Linked DNA regions of Astyanax mexicanus. The protein of the gene in region 2 purifies or fractionates together with the protein of the main gene of each other region. This does not show direct contact. Links are inferred from orthologs where the notes say so. Each region holds a gene or a part of one and is shown on either strand. Other genes may lie near its edges.

The links. Proteins that work in one complex are often made in the same cells at the same time.
Region 1: the proteins of p4ha2 (region 2) and col1a1a purify together in Homo sapiens (co-immunoprecipitation; 3 studies listed by BioGRID and IntAct, counting the BioPlex papers as one, with this or other methods). This does not show direct contact. The link is inferred for Astyanax mexicanus from reciprocal best matches to the Homo sapiens genes P4HA2 and COL1A1.

The regions. Positions count from the first base shown.
Region 1 is NC_064426.1:32,893,078-32,900,163, reverse strand, and holds the start of col1a1a (collagen, type I, alpha 1a), read right to left. Parts: upstream 3,452-7,086; 5' UTR 3,320-3,451; coding exon 3,238-3,319; intron 1,282-3,237; coding exon 1,090-1,281; intron 309-1,089; coding exon 286-308; intron 115-285; coding exon 79-114; intron 1-78. UniProt on the Homo sapiens protein: Type I collagen is a member of group I collagen (fibrillar forming collagen).
Region 2 is NC_064424.1:892,530-899,615, forward strand, and holds the start of p4ha2 (prolyl 4-hydroxylase subunit alpha-2), read right to left. Parts: upstream 3,647-7,086; 5' UTR 3,485-3,646; intron 418-3,484; exon of another isoform or gene 324-417; intron 1-323. UniProt on the Homo sapiens protein: Catalyzes the post-translational formation of 4-hydroxyproline in -Xaa-Pro-Gly- sequences in collagens and other proteins.

The DNA.
Region 1 (7,086 bases), on a different chromosome or scaffold from region 2:
CCCATTTAAATAATAGTAAAATTAAACAGATCAAATTAAACAGCTTTCATCACTAAAAGATGTGGAAATGAAACCTACCCTCTCGCCCTTGTCACCAGGCTCACCTCTGGGACCCTATAAAATAATATTATTTAAATGATTAATAAATGTACAGTGTATGAACATATGAATGTATAACTACAAGCACATTGGCCAGTAACAAAAAGCAAAGAAACTGAAATAATCAAGTGAATAAACATAATAAGATGGTAAAATAATAATAATAATAATAATAAAAACAATTACCTCAGCTCTGGGCTCTTGGTATTCTACAAAATAAAAGAAAAAGTGAAAAAAGAAAAATTAAAATCATACAAAAAGGACTGATGAGTAAATGATAAATAAGTGTAAAATAGCATGAAAGTAATTCTAAATGATATACAAAGCCATGCTAAGCCTCATAAATAACAGCATGCTGCATGTCACATGACCTTTTGACCTGTATCTGTCCCCTGGATCACTAAGTGTGGTAAAAAGCCAAGGGGTCGAGGCTAGGGGGTGTCAGGTCTCATCCACGAGGCAGGATGGAGGGAGGGTTTCATTCATTCATTCTAGCAGAGCCAGGGGCAGGCACACCACACCTGATCAGAAGTTCAGTAGTTTGACTGAAAGCAACTGATTCAACCAGTGCAAACAAGTGAGTGCTCAGGCGTGCTGCAGCTTGATCTGAATGAAAGGCCTGCAGCCAGCCATTCCAGCTGTTCCTTGTGGATAAGACTGGACACCCAAAGTGTACTTTTCAGTGGGGGACTTTTTAGGGGTTCTTCAATTAGAATCTCTGGAGGAACCCCTTATATTAAGGTGCTTTGAGGATAAATGTTTCCTGAAGGTTCCTTGAAGCACTGTTTCAAACTGAAGAACCCCTAAAAGCTCTACAAAGAACCTGAGGCAGCATTTAATTAATCCAGAGAGGGGAAAAAGGAAGGGATCTCCACAAAACGAAGGCCAGACAAATCTGAAATCCGCTTGGAAAAACCGCTGTTGTAATTTTCCCAATTAACTTCCCACGATACAGGCGGGTGGGCGGGGCTTTAGAGCGGGCTTCCGTACCGTCATCAGGGCAGACAGGGCAGCACTCATCTGGGGGGATGATCGGATTGGCGCAGTCGCTGGTGTCCTCGCAGATCACCTCGTCGCACATGACCGTGCCGCTGTCGCACACGCAGATCTGGCAGGGCTCCGGTTTCCACACGTCCCGGTCATTGTAGACCTGGCCGTCCAACGTACAGCTGCTGCCTGTGCCTAAGGACACAAATAAAATAAGAAAAACACGTTAAAGCGTGTTACTTAATTATTTTTTTTTGTAATAAGCGTTCGCAAACACATTTAAACAAATGATTTTGATCATTCTTTAATTTATTTTATTATTTCGTTTATTATTGTTTTGTAAGGCAGAAGAATATATACATAGCTGCCTTACATAAACAATCCCAAATGTACATTATAATCATTAAAATAATAATTAAATAAATTAATAATATATCAATACTATCTATAACATGGATATATTTTTTAATTGCACCAAATTCACAATCATTGCTATCACTGCTCATATTGTTTTTATTTTTAATGCAATTATTGGCGATGATAGGCCTGAAATCAAGAATATTATTCTAGCTATTTATAGCCTATATTATTTTTTCGCAAAACAAACAAACAAAAAATAATTTTCAAATAATTTTAATGTAAAAATGTGAAGACTAAATACGGATAGGAAAAAATGTTTCCGCAAAAAAGGTCTAAAAGTATATTTTCTAAAGCGCAGGGTCCACTTTAACTGCTGATTCTTCTGTTGTTTTTTATTTAATTTAATTTTTTTAAGGCACTAACTGTATATTTTATTTTCGTCCTACGCTTGCACACAAATCTCATCATCTGTTTTTTTTTTTATTATTATTGAGCTCAATGCTCCAATCCATTCAAATTCATTCATCAGCGACTTTTAGCCAGATCGGCTATATGTAATGTCATCATTGTGACTCTTGATGGCGCTCTATCTAACAATGCCTTTCCCTTTTGTAAAGCAAGGGGAAAAGGCTCAGGAGGGAAAAGGTCCACGTCTTTCGGGGTTCACTGTATGTCATAAAATAATCGAAACCCGTCGGCTTGGCAGCAACATGCGTTTTCCCTTAGTGGAAAGTCTGCAAAGCCCACATGTGTTTTACATTATCATAAAAACACCAGAGGCGGGGTGGGGGCTCTGCTGAGGCTGCTGCCAAAAAGCAGGCCAGTCCCAAACCTGATCGCTAGGAGGCGCTGCAGGACTGCAATTGCGCTTCTCAAAGCGTTAAGGACAATTGCAGATGTCTGGACGGGTAGCTCTTTTTGTGTGAAGGAATCTGAAGACAAGAAAAAGTTTCTACCATGTTAAACAACTAATGTTAAGTAGTTCCCCCCAAATTCTAAGATAAATAAATAGCTTTTTAACATCACTTTAGTTTTTTTAATGTTCTGATCTCCTTGTTTAGCATGACATAGTCATGGTCCAAAGATGAGCTCATCACTTTTTCCATGGGAGAAAAACCTAAACCTCAAAAGTTCCAACGAGTTACGTGGTGGATGTCGACTTTAGACTAGTAGAACTAAAGACTCCAAACGAGTCGGGTTTTTTTTTAGCTAAATCAGATTTTTTTTGGTAGTTTCTGGTTTAGATCAAACATGTAAACACTTTATTACAAACAATACACAGCTAAACAACACTGTATAAGCTATAAATCCATATGTGCTTTAGCACTTTTACTTTTTTACTGTTTTTTTACCCCTCTGTACATTATTTTGCAGCTGTTGAACTAAAGCATAGCTCCAGGGCATCACTAATGTTAAGCATGGAGAGTAGCTAAAGGAGGGGTGTTGGGAGGGTGGACGAGTCTCTAAGCCTGTGCCAACTTGCCTCCATGCATGCAAGCAAGCAAGCTCTTGAAGACAGACTCTCAACATAGTGATACTCCTAGTGAATCTCCTGCACCTTCAACTTTCAATCACTGAAGTTGCTGTTCTTCCTCCCCTCATGTTTAAAATAGCATAGCATAGAGATAGATACAAGCTTCCCCAGAGCTTGGCATCCCTGGCAACCCCTCACTGCCCTCACTCTGCCCTTTTTTTTTTTGCTTTTCCCCCCAAAGGCAGCCCATCCTACCCAGTCAAAGTCCTAATCAAGAAGAAAAAGAAGCTGGATGTGAAGATAGAGAAGATACTCACGGTCGTCCTCGCCTTGCCCCCTTGCCAAAAGCACTGTTGCACCGAGCAACAGCGCCAGCCGAATATCCACAAAGCTGAACATGTCTAAATATTAGACATGTAGACTCTTTGAGGCGAGGGAAGTTCTTTTTTAGACTCCAATCATACACAGTAGGGTCCGGTCTTCTCTGACTCCAGTCCAGACCCCAGCAGAAACTCCCTACTGCCTAAACGCACTTTTCCCCCACGCTTTTATACTCCAAACTTTTGGGGAGGTGCCGGGCGCTCCACAGAGCTCAGGCATGTTCCCGTTTAACAGGAGAGGAGGAAAAAAAACGGACCCTCCTTCACCAGACGGAGGGGCTGTCTCCAGAACTCGTCTTTTTCTTTTTCTTTTTTTGCTTGCTTCACCCTAGCATCTAAAGAAACTGGGAAACTTGATCTTTTAGAGAGAAAATCTAAGGGGTTAAGCAAACCAAAAAGCCAGCTTTGGTTCAGTTGGATAGAGGAGGCAGGCAGGCCTGAACCTTCTTACCTTCTTACTTTCTTCTCACCTTATTCAACAGAAGCCAAGATGGGATGGAGTGCATTGTTGTTGTTGAATTTCGACACGTTTATTCTTCTTCTGGGCTCTGCTTGCTTGGTATCAGAATATGCATGGTATGGTTTTGTCTATTAGCTGTGGATGTTTATTCATAAATGCATACATGTGATACATTTATGTCACCATATTGAAAGATTTTGAGATTTAATTTAATCAGTTCAATGACATCTCATATATTTGCAATTGTGGGGTTTCTCAGAGGTGACTTAAGTTTAACCCTGGAATACACAACATTAATAAGGAGCAGTTTCTCAAAGAGGGAAATGATTTATTTTGCCCTTATTTTTAATGCACTCTTTCTGCTATAAAGTAAAATGTATTGTTTATAGACTTTTGTTTATTTATTCATTTTTAGCCCAAATCAACTTGGTATAATTTGCTATGTTGGATTTTAACAGTGTGAAGACTTTTTCATAAAAGGTAAATAGAGTCTGTAAATTGACTTCATTTGGAAGTACACATTTATTCATGGGCTTAATTTCCAGGATCCAGCCTATTTATCAGACCAAGATAAATCCCAAATCTATAATAATAAATTGTATACATTTTTAATGTGGAAAAAACTCAGGCATCTAGATATTAGTCTAATATAGTGCATAATGGATTTGGCTTAATAAACATTTACTCTATAATATAAATATTTTGTCTTTACATTTAATGCAATCATTTTTTTTATTTTAATACCACCAAGAATGAAGCACTTTTTCACTCATACGCCCAGACCTTCTTTATTCCCAGTTCACTCCCAGTTTTCTGCACATAAACAGTCTTCATTTCATCAATTGCATGTCTGGGGGACTGACTGTGTGACTAGGCAGTCAGTCGGTCTACGTGGCTCCAAAGCAGAGCTGCTGCTCCCACATTGTAGACATGCATCATCACATGATACCAAAAATCACTAAAATCAGTTTTAAAGTTAGTTATAAACATATAATATATATATATAGTGAATATAGATGTATATAAATGAAGATGCTGCTGACCCATCACTACAGCCACGACGCAATAAACGCGCACGCGCAGTGCTATTATTAAAAAATAAAATAAAACGCGCGCGAGCTCCTTGGCTTCAGCAGCGCTCCATCTCTCTCTCTCTTCCGCAGACACGTCGCATCTGCGCGGCTGGCCAATCACAGCGCTCCTCTCTCCCCCTCATTCTTCACCCCATCCAAGAATCCAAGACGCTTTTTTTCGCTTAAAACAACGCAGATGAAAGCAGCGCGAGCTTCTCTGAGGGAAAACGCCACCTCATCGCCTTCAGGTGCTTCAGGGTCAGTGTGGAGAGGAGAGCTACTGTTCTGCTCACGTTTACTCTAGTCGTTCAGAGACGTTTAGAGAAGGTGTGAGATGTGTAAGAAATCTTTAGATATGGGAGAAAATAATAAGATAAGTTGTTTATCTGAGCAGAAATGTATTAATCTATGTTTAAGTGTTATCTTAACCATTTCCTATTAAAATTCACACGCCTACAGATACAACACAACACATGGTTCATCAAACCATTTAAATTAACTGGCTACTTCATTACTCAGTTCAGTTAATTTATTAAAGTAAATCAGGTTAGCGGCGGTTCACATGGTAATAAGCAACTAAACCCTATATTTGGCAACTGAAATTATTCGTCAGAAAATGACAAAAAAAAAGCATAAAGCAAAACCAGTGAAAAGTGAAAAGACTGAATAAGTCTGCAGAACACTATTGTGGTTTGTAGTTTTGTCTAACAGTGATTTTTTTTAGTGTTAGGTGTTTAATGTGTATTTTTAAAAATCAAGAAATATATACTTTAGTGCTCATTTATGCATTGGTAAAAAGTGTCAAAAATCTAAAAAACTTTTTAAATCTTTCAGTTTTTTTAACATTGTGTCAAAGTGCCATGATGAGTAGACCAAAATAAATGTTCCAAAACAACTTGAAATAAAATCACATACAGCTCTAGAAAAAAACACTTAAAAACAATGAGTTTCTTTGATTTTACCAAACTGAAAACCTCTGAAAATATAATCAAGAGGAAGATGGATGATTACAAGCCATCAAATTATGCTGAACTGCTTGATTTTTTGTACTAGGAGTGGCATAAATTTATCAAAAAGCAGTGTGTAAGATTGGTGGAGGAGAACATGTCAATGTGCATGAAAACTGTGATTAAAAAACCAGGGTTATTCCACCATATTTCAGATTTCCAAACTTTTAAAACTTTATGAATATGAGCTTGTTTCCTTTGCACCTTTTTTATTATTTCAGGATTTTAAGACTTTACATTACTTATGTATTTCAAGTTCAAATTACATTAAAAGGAATAGTTCATTTTCCATTGACCCCAAATCACAAAAACAATCATGTCAAAACATTTTTCTTTTTTTTGTCTGAGACACTGAAACAAAAAGCTTTTACAGTATAAGTTAATGTATTTATCAATCAAAAGATTGCAGGTTGACTTTGATTTCTCTAATTTAATATTTTTTTCCTCTTTTTTTTCAGATGGTAAGTGGAATTGTTTTTAATTAAAAAAAATAAATAAACATATGCTTATCTGTGTGGTTATAGTTGCTTTGAAAATAAGTTAATAAGACCTTGAAGTTTAATATTTTATTATTCTGATTATTATTTATATAAATATTTGTATATTTTAAATGGAGGATGTGGAAGGTGATGAATTATGGCTGTAAGTTGCCTCTGCTACTCTGCTACATATAGACTGCCAGATTGGTTGGCGTGTCTAAAATATTTAATCTATCTTTGACTATCTGTGAATAAATATGTTTTTGGATATAATGGGAGTGCTGTCAGATTTCTTTTATTTTTGGTTCTTTAAGTTGTCATGGTTGTATAGTACCTTCATTGCCTTTAATAAATTAATAGCCCTTCAACCACCACCACCACCCTCTTTTAAAAAATAAAAATGACCTTGTATGGTAAACACTAGACTAATATTTTATACCATTCCGATTTTCTGGATTTTCTTTTGAACCATTGCTCTGAAAAGAGCTGTAATGAAATTGTTAGCAGCAGTACAAAATATGGGCTTACTTTTTTATAAGCATATATGACAAATTCCTTGTTTGCCACCATGTTTTTACTGTAATGCCAAGAACCATCTTTCTGAAAAATTCAGCTAACAACATATATGTGGTCACATTTAAATTAAGGCGGACATGTAATTTGTGGTTGTGTAGTGTAGGATCTGTACATTGGGTTGTAGATGATAAAAATATCTTTCTTTACAAGTTCTTAGGAACTAAATGGGGATTTTCAGAAAATGGTATAAA
Region 2 (7,086 bases):
CTGGGGAGAGCTAACGGCTAACTGTTGATGCTAACTGTATTTCAGAGATGAATTATTCCCTGTTTATTAATAAAAGGTTGATGTTTTTGTGCTGATTAGATTAATACGTTCTTTTATTGGATATAATATGTGGGTTATGGTTATAGTTTATTCAAGTCTTTAGTTATTACTGTACCCTCACAACACCAGAATGCAGCAGTGGGCCCAATGCTAGCAAGGCTAACAGACTGCTAATGTTAAGGGAGATGACTAACGGCTAACTAGCGATGCTAACTGTATTTTCAAGCTAAATTAATCACTTTTGTAAAGAAGTATTTAGATACTTTTATCTGAGGAGCTGTTTGTTAACTGGTTTCTGAAGATGGAAACTTTGATGAACTCATCCTGTACAACAGAGGAAACTCTCGCTCTTCCCTTCCTTTCCTGGGGCGGTCCTGATGAGTGCCAGTTTCATCATCATAATGTTTATTTTTTTACAGTTTTTGCATTGACTGTACTTGAGGATACTTTCAAAGTTTCTGAAATTCTCCTTTTTTCCGATTTACTGAACTTTTAAGTATTTTTTTTACCTGAGTATTTTTTGTTTCTCATAATCTGGATTAGAACATTATTCAAATATTCACTATTCACTGTATACCTGTAACTCTACCTCTTCACTACTTTACTTTAACTGATGCTGTCAAACACTTTATTAAGAGACAAGAAATTCAAGTAATTAACTCTTGATGAGTTCAGCACAGCTGTTAACTGAAACCTGAATTCCAGGAGACTCTACCTCATTAAACTGACTGAGAAAATCCAGCAGTTAAACAAACAAACATTCTGGTTCAACACTTTTTTGTTTACTAAATAATTTCATATGTTTTTATAGTTTAGATGAGTTTAGTATTAATCTACAATGCAGAACATTGTAGAAAAAAATATATAATATATAATAAACATAAAATATTGAAAAAAGCACTGAATTTAAGTTGTGTACAGACTTTTGACATTGTGCTTTGACGTTGTTCTTTAGATTATGGGGAAAGTATGACGGGAGATAAAACAGGTTCAGGCTGGTGATGTTGAGCAGTGCAGTCTTTTAGAGTTTAGCTCAGCTGGTCTGGATTCAGTGATTATCAGATAATCAGATAAACGCACTGTAGCTTCATCACTTCCTGCTGAACTGTTCAGCTTCTGAAAGCTTCTGGTTAAAGACTTCCAGAATTCATAATAATATTTTAAAAGCCTCGTCATTTTTTCGTGTTTTATCATTAATTTTTAGTTCAGTTTGATTATAGCGCCATCATGTGGAGTAATGAAGCAGTAACTTTAGTAAATCTAAATGGAGGGGGCAAATCTTAGAAAGTTTAGAGCGCTTTAATAAATGTTTCAATAAAAAAACCAAAAACTTTGAAAATGATATTGATAATGTATCGAAAATAAAAACAATGCGATATATCGATATACTGATATATTAGTATTTGAATTCGATGATTTAAAATTACAGTGTTAATGCGATTTTCAAAATGGAATAATCACAGTTTTACATACAGACATTTTATGTTTTTAATCTAAATATCTGAAAACGCTGAAGTTTTTATCCGTCTTACCCTGGTTACTGATGCCTCCCACAGACTAACCCGCACATATTTACTCAGTCTGAGGACTGAGCTTTTACCGAAAACAGTTCCAGCACTTTAAAGCATATATTTATCTAGAAATAAAACCTACAACACTTTATAAAAACTGCAGTGCATCGCTCTCTGGTGAGGATCCGTAATTAACTGTGAAAAACAATAATAATAAAAATCTCTCCTTCAAAGTTTCTTCTATACTATGACTCGCTTAGTGCGTTAATTCTCTATTTTCAGTCACAAACCATTTATCGTTTTTAATCATTTCTTTGCCATGTGTAGTTTGATTATTAGTAGGAGAGGAAAATAATCTATTCTAATCGAAAATTGGATTTTTATCTAACTTTTATTAAATAGCCTCCACCTCCTTCACCCCAGCATTCCCAAATACAACACTTTTAGCTGATACTTCCAAAAGACCTAAAATACTAATGATAGGGTCATAGAGATACCCATGCAAAGAAACCACTATTTCTACACCATTAATAAACTCAAAGTATACTCATAAAACTCATAAGAGCCCTGACATTTAAAACATGTTTCAATAACACTTTAAATGTTTGAAGGGTTAAATGGTTAAAACAGAGCAGCTAAAGAAAAGCTGAAAATACACTTTTAAAAGAAGCTAGTTTAGTTTTATCTCCAGCACTAATCCTAAAGTGCTCCTACATTCTGCAAATAAATAAAATCAGATGAATGAAAACACAGATTCACACTGAGTCCTGTAGTCAGTATGTATCGCTTTAGGAGCTTAATGAGTTAAAGTAAAGTAGAGAGTTCCGTAAGGAATTTTACACAGATTTTAAAGTGTTAAAAGATGTAATGCAAACAAAAATAATGTTTATTTAATGTTCCATCTGCAAAAAGTACTACACCCTCCAGCCAGTCTACACACTGAGTAACTCTACACACACAGTGACTCTCTACAGGATGTTTCTAGAACATCCAAATCTCGGCACAGCCCCAACACAGAGATCTGCACAACACTTCACTACAGTCTGCTTCCATTTAACCCCAACACTTTAACACACTTTACTCACAGTTTACCCACTGACCCTGGATCAGTTTCAACTACTAGATTTGTATCTAATAGTTATATACCTAATAGTTCTATACTAGTTCTGTACCTAACAGTTATATAGTAGCTGTATACCTAATAGTTCTATACCTAATAGTTCTATACTAGTTATATACATAACAGTTATATACTAGTTCTGTACCTAATAGTTCTATACTAGTTATTTGCGTAACACTTATATACTGGTTCTATACCTAACAGTTATGTACTAGTTCTATAGCTAACAGTTATATACTAGTTCTATACATAACGGTCATGTACTAATTATATACATAGCAGTTATATACTAGTTCCTTACGTAACAGTTATATACTGTTTCTATACCTAACAGTTATATACCAGTTCTATACCTAATAGTTCTACACGTAACAGTTCTATACTAGGTCTCTACCTTATAGTTATATACTAGTTCTTTGCGTAACAGTTATTTGCTAGTTATATACCTAAAAGTTATATACTAGTTCTATACCTAACAGCTATATACTAATTATATACATAACAGTTCTATACTAACTAGTTCTTTACGTAACACTTATACACTGGTTCTGTACCTAACAGTTCTATAACAGTTGTATACTAGTTGTATACCTAATAGTTCTGTATCTAATAGTTATATAAACGTTCTATACCTGGTAGTTTTATACCTAACAGATATATACTAGTTCTGTACTAGTTTAAGTTCTGTAAGGTTACTGTAACAGTGATCCGAACCCCCGGAACAGCCCACAAACTCCTGTATCAGAACTCTGCAGCTCCAGAACCCCAGAATATTCACCATACTCACACTTACCCTCTGATCACTGACAGATCCACCTAATCCTGCACTAATCCTCAACTTCTGCTGGATGTTTTCAGCTCGTTTGTTGGGTGTTTGCTGTAAATCCGCAGAGAGAGTGAAGCGTGTTTTGCTGCCACGTCCCGAACCCCTCTATAGCCGCTACTCTCATTACCGTAAACCCGCTAAACAGCGCGCACAGCATTCCAACACCCAGCCTGTAAACCGCTATACACACTATTACACTAATACAATAATACACACTGACAGCTGCTTTACTGCAGGACAAACAGCGACAGAACTGCACTTACTATTTAAAAATAAATAAAATGAACCAAACAATCCCAATAAATACAACAAGTCCAATAAATATACAGCTTAATCTTAGAATAAATAAATACATATAAACACATTACTAAGAAAAAACAAATTACGTTAAATAATTAACAGTAACAAGACATGTGATAACAATAATAATAATAATAATAATAATAATAATCAGTACTCTTTATGTGAATAATAGCTTCATTGTTTTTTTTACTGTAATGACTAAAATATAGCCAAAGCATTACAACAACAAAATTACAATAAAATAAAAGCAACAATAATTTGAAAAATTTCACGTTATAGCACATGTTGGGTGCCAGAAGGAGAAATATATGTGCAGTCACGGGCCACAGACTCAAATAATGAAATATACCACTTATAAAAATATATATTTTTATTACTATTTTCATTTACACACCATTTTACTATCTTTATCTATATTTGACTGTGTTGTGTACACAAATATTTTTCAAACTGATGTTTCGTTTCATAATGTCTCTTAATATTATTATACTTATTATACTTATTATTATTATTATTATTATTATTATTATTATTATTATTATTATTATTATTATTATTATTATTATTATATACTCCTTTATTACAGCAACTGATTCCTGACAAATTAAATATTAACACTTCCCTCTGAAAATTGCTATTAAAAAATAGCAATTTTCCCAATGTGCCTGAAATTTTATGCATTTACTGTCCATTACTGTGTCGTTTCATTGGAGTTATCATTTTTTCCCTAAATCTAAGAAACATTAAAACGGCAGTCTGTATTATTTTGCCTCTTATCTCTTTGGCCCGTTTTCTGTGCTACAACTGAACTCCGCTTTTAGACTCTTTGGCTCGTTTATTCCTCTACAACTGATCATTCTCGCAGCTTTTAGACTCTTTGTCTTGTTTATTCCGCTACAACTGATCATTCTCGCAGCTTTTAGACTCTTTGTCTTGTTTATTCCGCTACAACTGATCATTCTCGCAGCTTTTAGACTCTTTGTCTTGTTTATTCCGCTACAAATGATCATTCTCGCAGCTTTTAGGCTCTTTGTCTTGTTTATTCTGCTACAACTGATCATTCTCGCCGCTTTTAGACTCTTTGTCTCGTTTCTTCCGCTACAACTGATCATTCTCACAGCTTTTAGACCCTTTGTCTTGTTTATTCTGCTAAAACTGATCAATCTCGCCACTTTTAGACTCTTTGTCTTGTTTATTCCGCTACAACTGATCATTCTCGCAGCTTTTAGACTCTTTGTCTTGTTTATTCCGCTACAACTGATCATTCTCGCAGCTTTTAGACTCTTTGTCTTGTTTATTCTGCTACAACTGATCATTCTCGCAGCTTTTAGACTCTTTGTCTTGTTTATTCCGCTACAACTGATCATTCTCGCCGCTTTTAGACTCTTTGGCTCGTTTATTCCTCTACAACTGATCATTCTCGCAGCTTTTAGACTCTTTGTCTTGTTTATTCCGCTACAACTGATCATTCTCGCAGCTTTTAGACTCTTTGTCTTGTTTATTCCGCTACAAATGATCATTCTCGCAGCTTTTAGACTCTTTGTCTTGTTTATTCTGCTACAACTGATCATTCTCGCCGCTTTTAGACTCTTTGTCTCGTTTCTTCCGCTACAACTGATCATTCTCACAGCTTTTAGACCCTTTGTTTTGTTTATTCTGCTAAAACTGATCAATCTCGCCACTTTTAGACTCTTTGTCTTGTTTATTCCGCTACAACTGATCATTCTCGCCGCTTTTAGACTCTTTGTCTTGTTTATTCCGCTACAACTGATCATTCTCGGCGCTTTTAGACTCTTTGTCTTGTTTATTCTGCTACAACTGATCATTCTCGCCGCTTTTAGACTCTTTGTCTCGTTTCTTCCGCTACAACTGATCATTCTCACAGCTTTTAGACCCTTTGTTTTGTTTATTCTGCTAAAACTGATCAATCTCGCCACTTTTAGACTCTTTGTCTTGTTTATTCCGCTACAACTGATCATTCTCGCCGCTTTTAGACTCTTTGTCTTGTTTATTCCGCTACAACTGATCATTCTCGGCGCTTTTAGACTCTTTGTCTTGTTTATTCCACTACAACTGATCGTTCTCACAGCTTTTAGACCCTTTGTCTTGTTTATTCTGCTAAAACTGATCAATCTTGCCACTTTTAGAGTCTTTGCCTTGTTTATTCCGCTACAACTGATCATTCTCGCCGCTTTTAGACTCTTTGGCTCGTTTATTCCTCTACAACTGATCATTCTCGCAGCTTTTAGACTCTTTGTCTTGTTTATTCCGCTACAACTGATCATTCTCGCAGCTTTTAGACTCTTTGTCTTGTTTATTCCGCTACAACTGATCATTCTCGCCGCTTTTAGACTCTTTGTCTTGTTTATTCCGCTATAACTGATCATTCTCGCCGCTTTTAGACTCTTTGTCTCGTTTCTTCCACTACAACTGATCATTCTCACAGCTTTTAGACCCTTTGTCTTGTTTATTCTGCTAAAACTGATCAATCTCGCCACTTTTAGACTCTTTGTCTTGTTTTTTCCGCTACAACTGATCATTCTCGCAGCTTTTAGACTCTTTGTCTTGATTTCAACTCGCTACAACTGAACAATCTTACCGCTTTTAGACTCTTTGGCTCGTTTATTCCGCTACAACTGAACACTCTCGCCGCTTTTAGACTCTTTGGCTCGTTTATTCCGCTACAATTGATCACTTTTGCCACTTTCCACAAAAATAAATGTGGATTAACTCCCCCTTCACACACAAGAAATGAACAAATATTCTTTTCATTTATTTTTTAATCATGTAGAGGCAGCAAAAATAATTTTAGACACCACACATTAACACAGGTTATGTACACTATAGACATTATTACTTTTTACACACTTTTACATGCACCGTTTATAGTATCCTAGAGATGTGTGAATTTGTGGAGTGGATCACATGTCCTGATTAATGACAGCTAAAAACTGAAACACACACACACACACACACACACATATACAGTGGGGAGAACAAGTATTTGATACACTGCTGATTTTTCAGGTTTTCCCACTTGCAAAGCATGTGGAAGACTGTAATTTTTATCATAGGTACTCTTCAACTGTGAGTGATGGAATCTAAAACAAAAATCCAGAAAAATACATTGTATGATTTTTAAATAATTAATTTCCATTTTATTGTGGGAAATAAGTATTTGATCATCTATCAACCAGTAAGAATTTTGGCTCTCACAGACATGTTACTTCTTCTTTAAGAAGCCCTCCTGTTCTCCACTCATTACC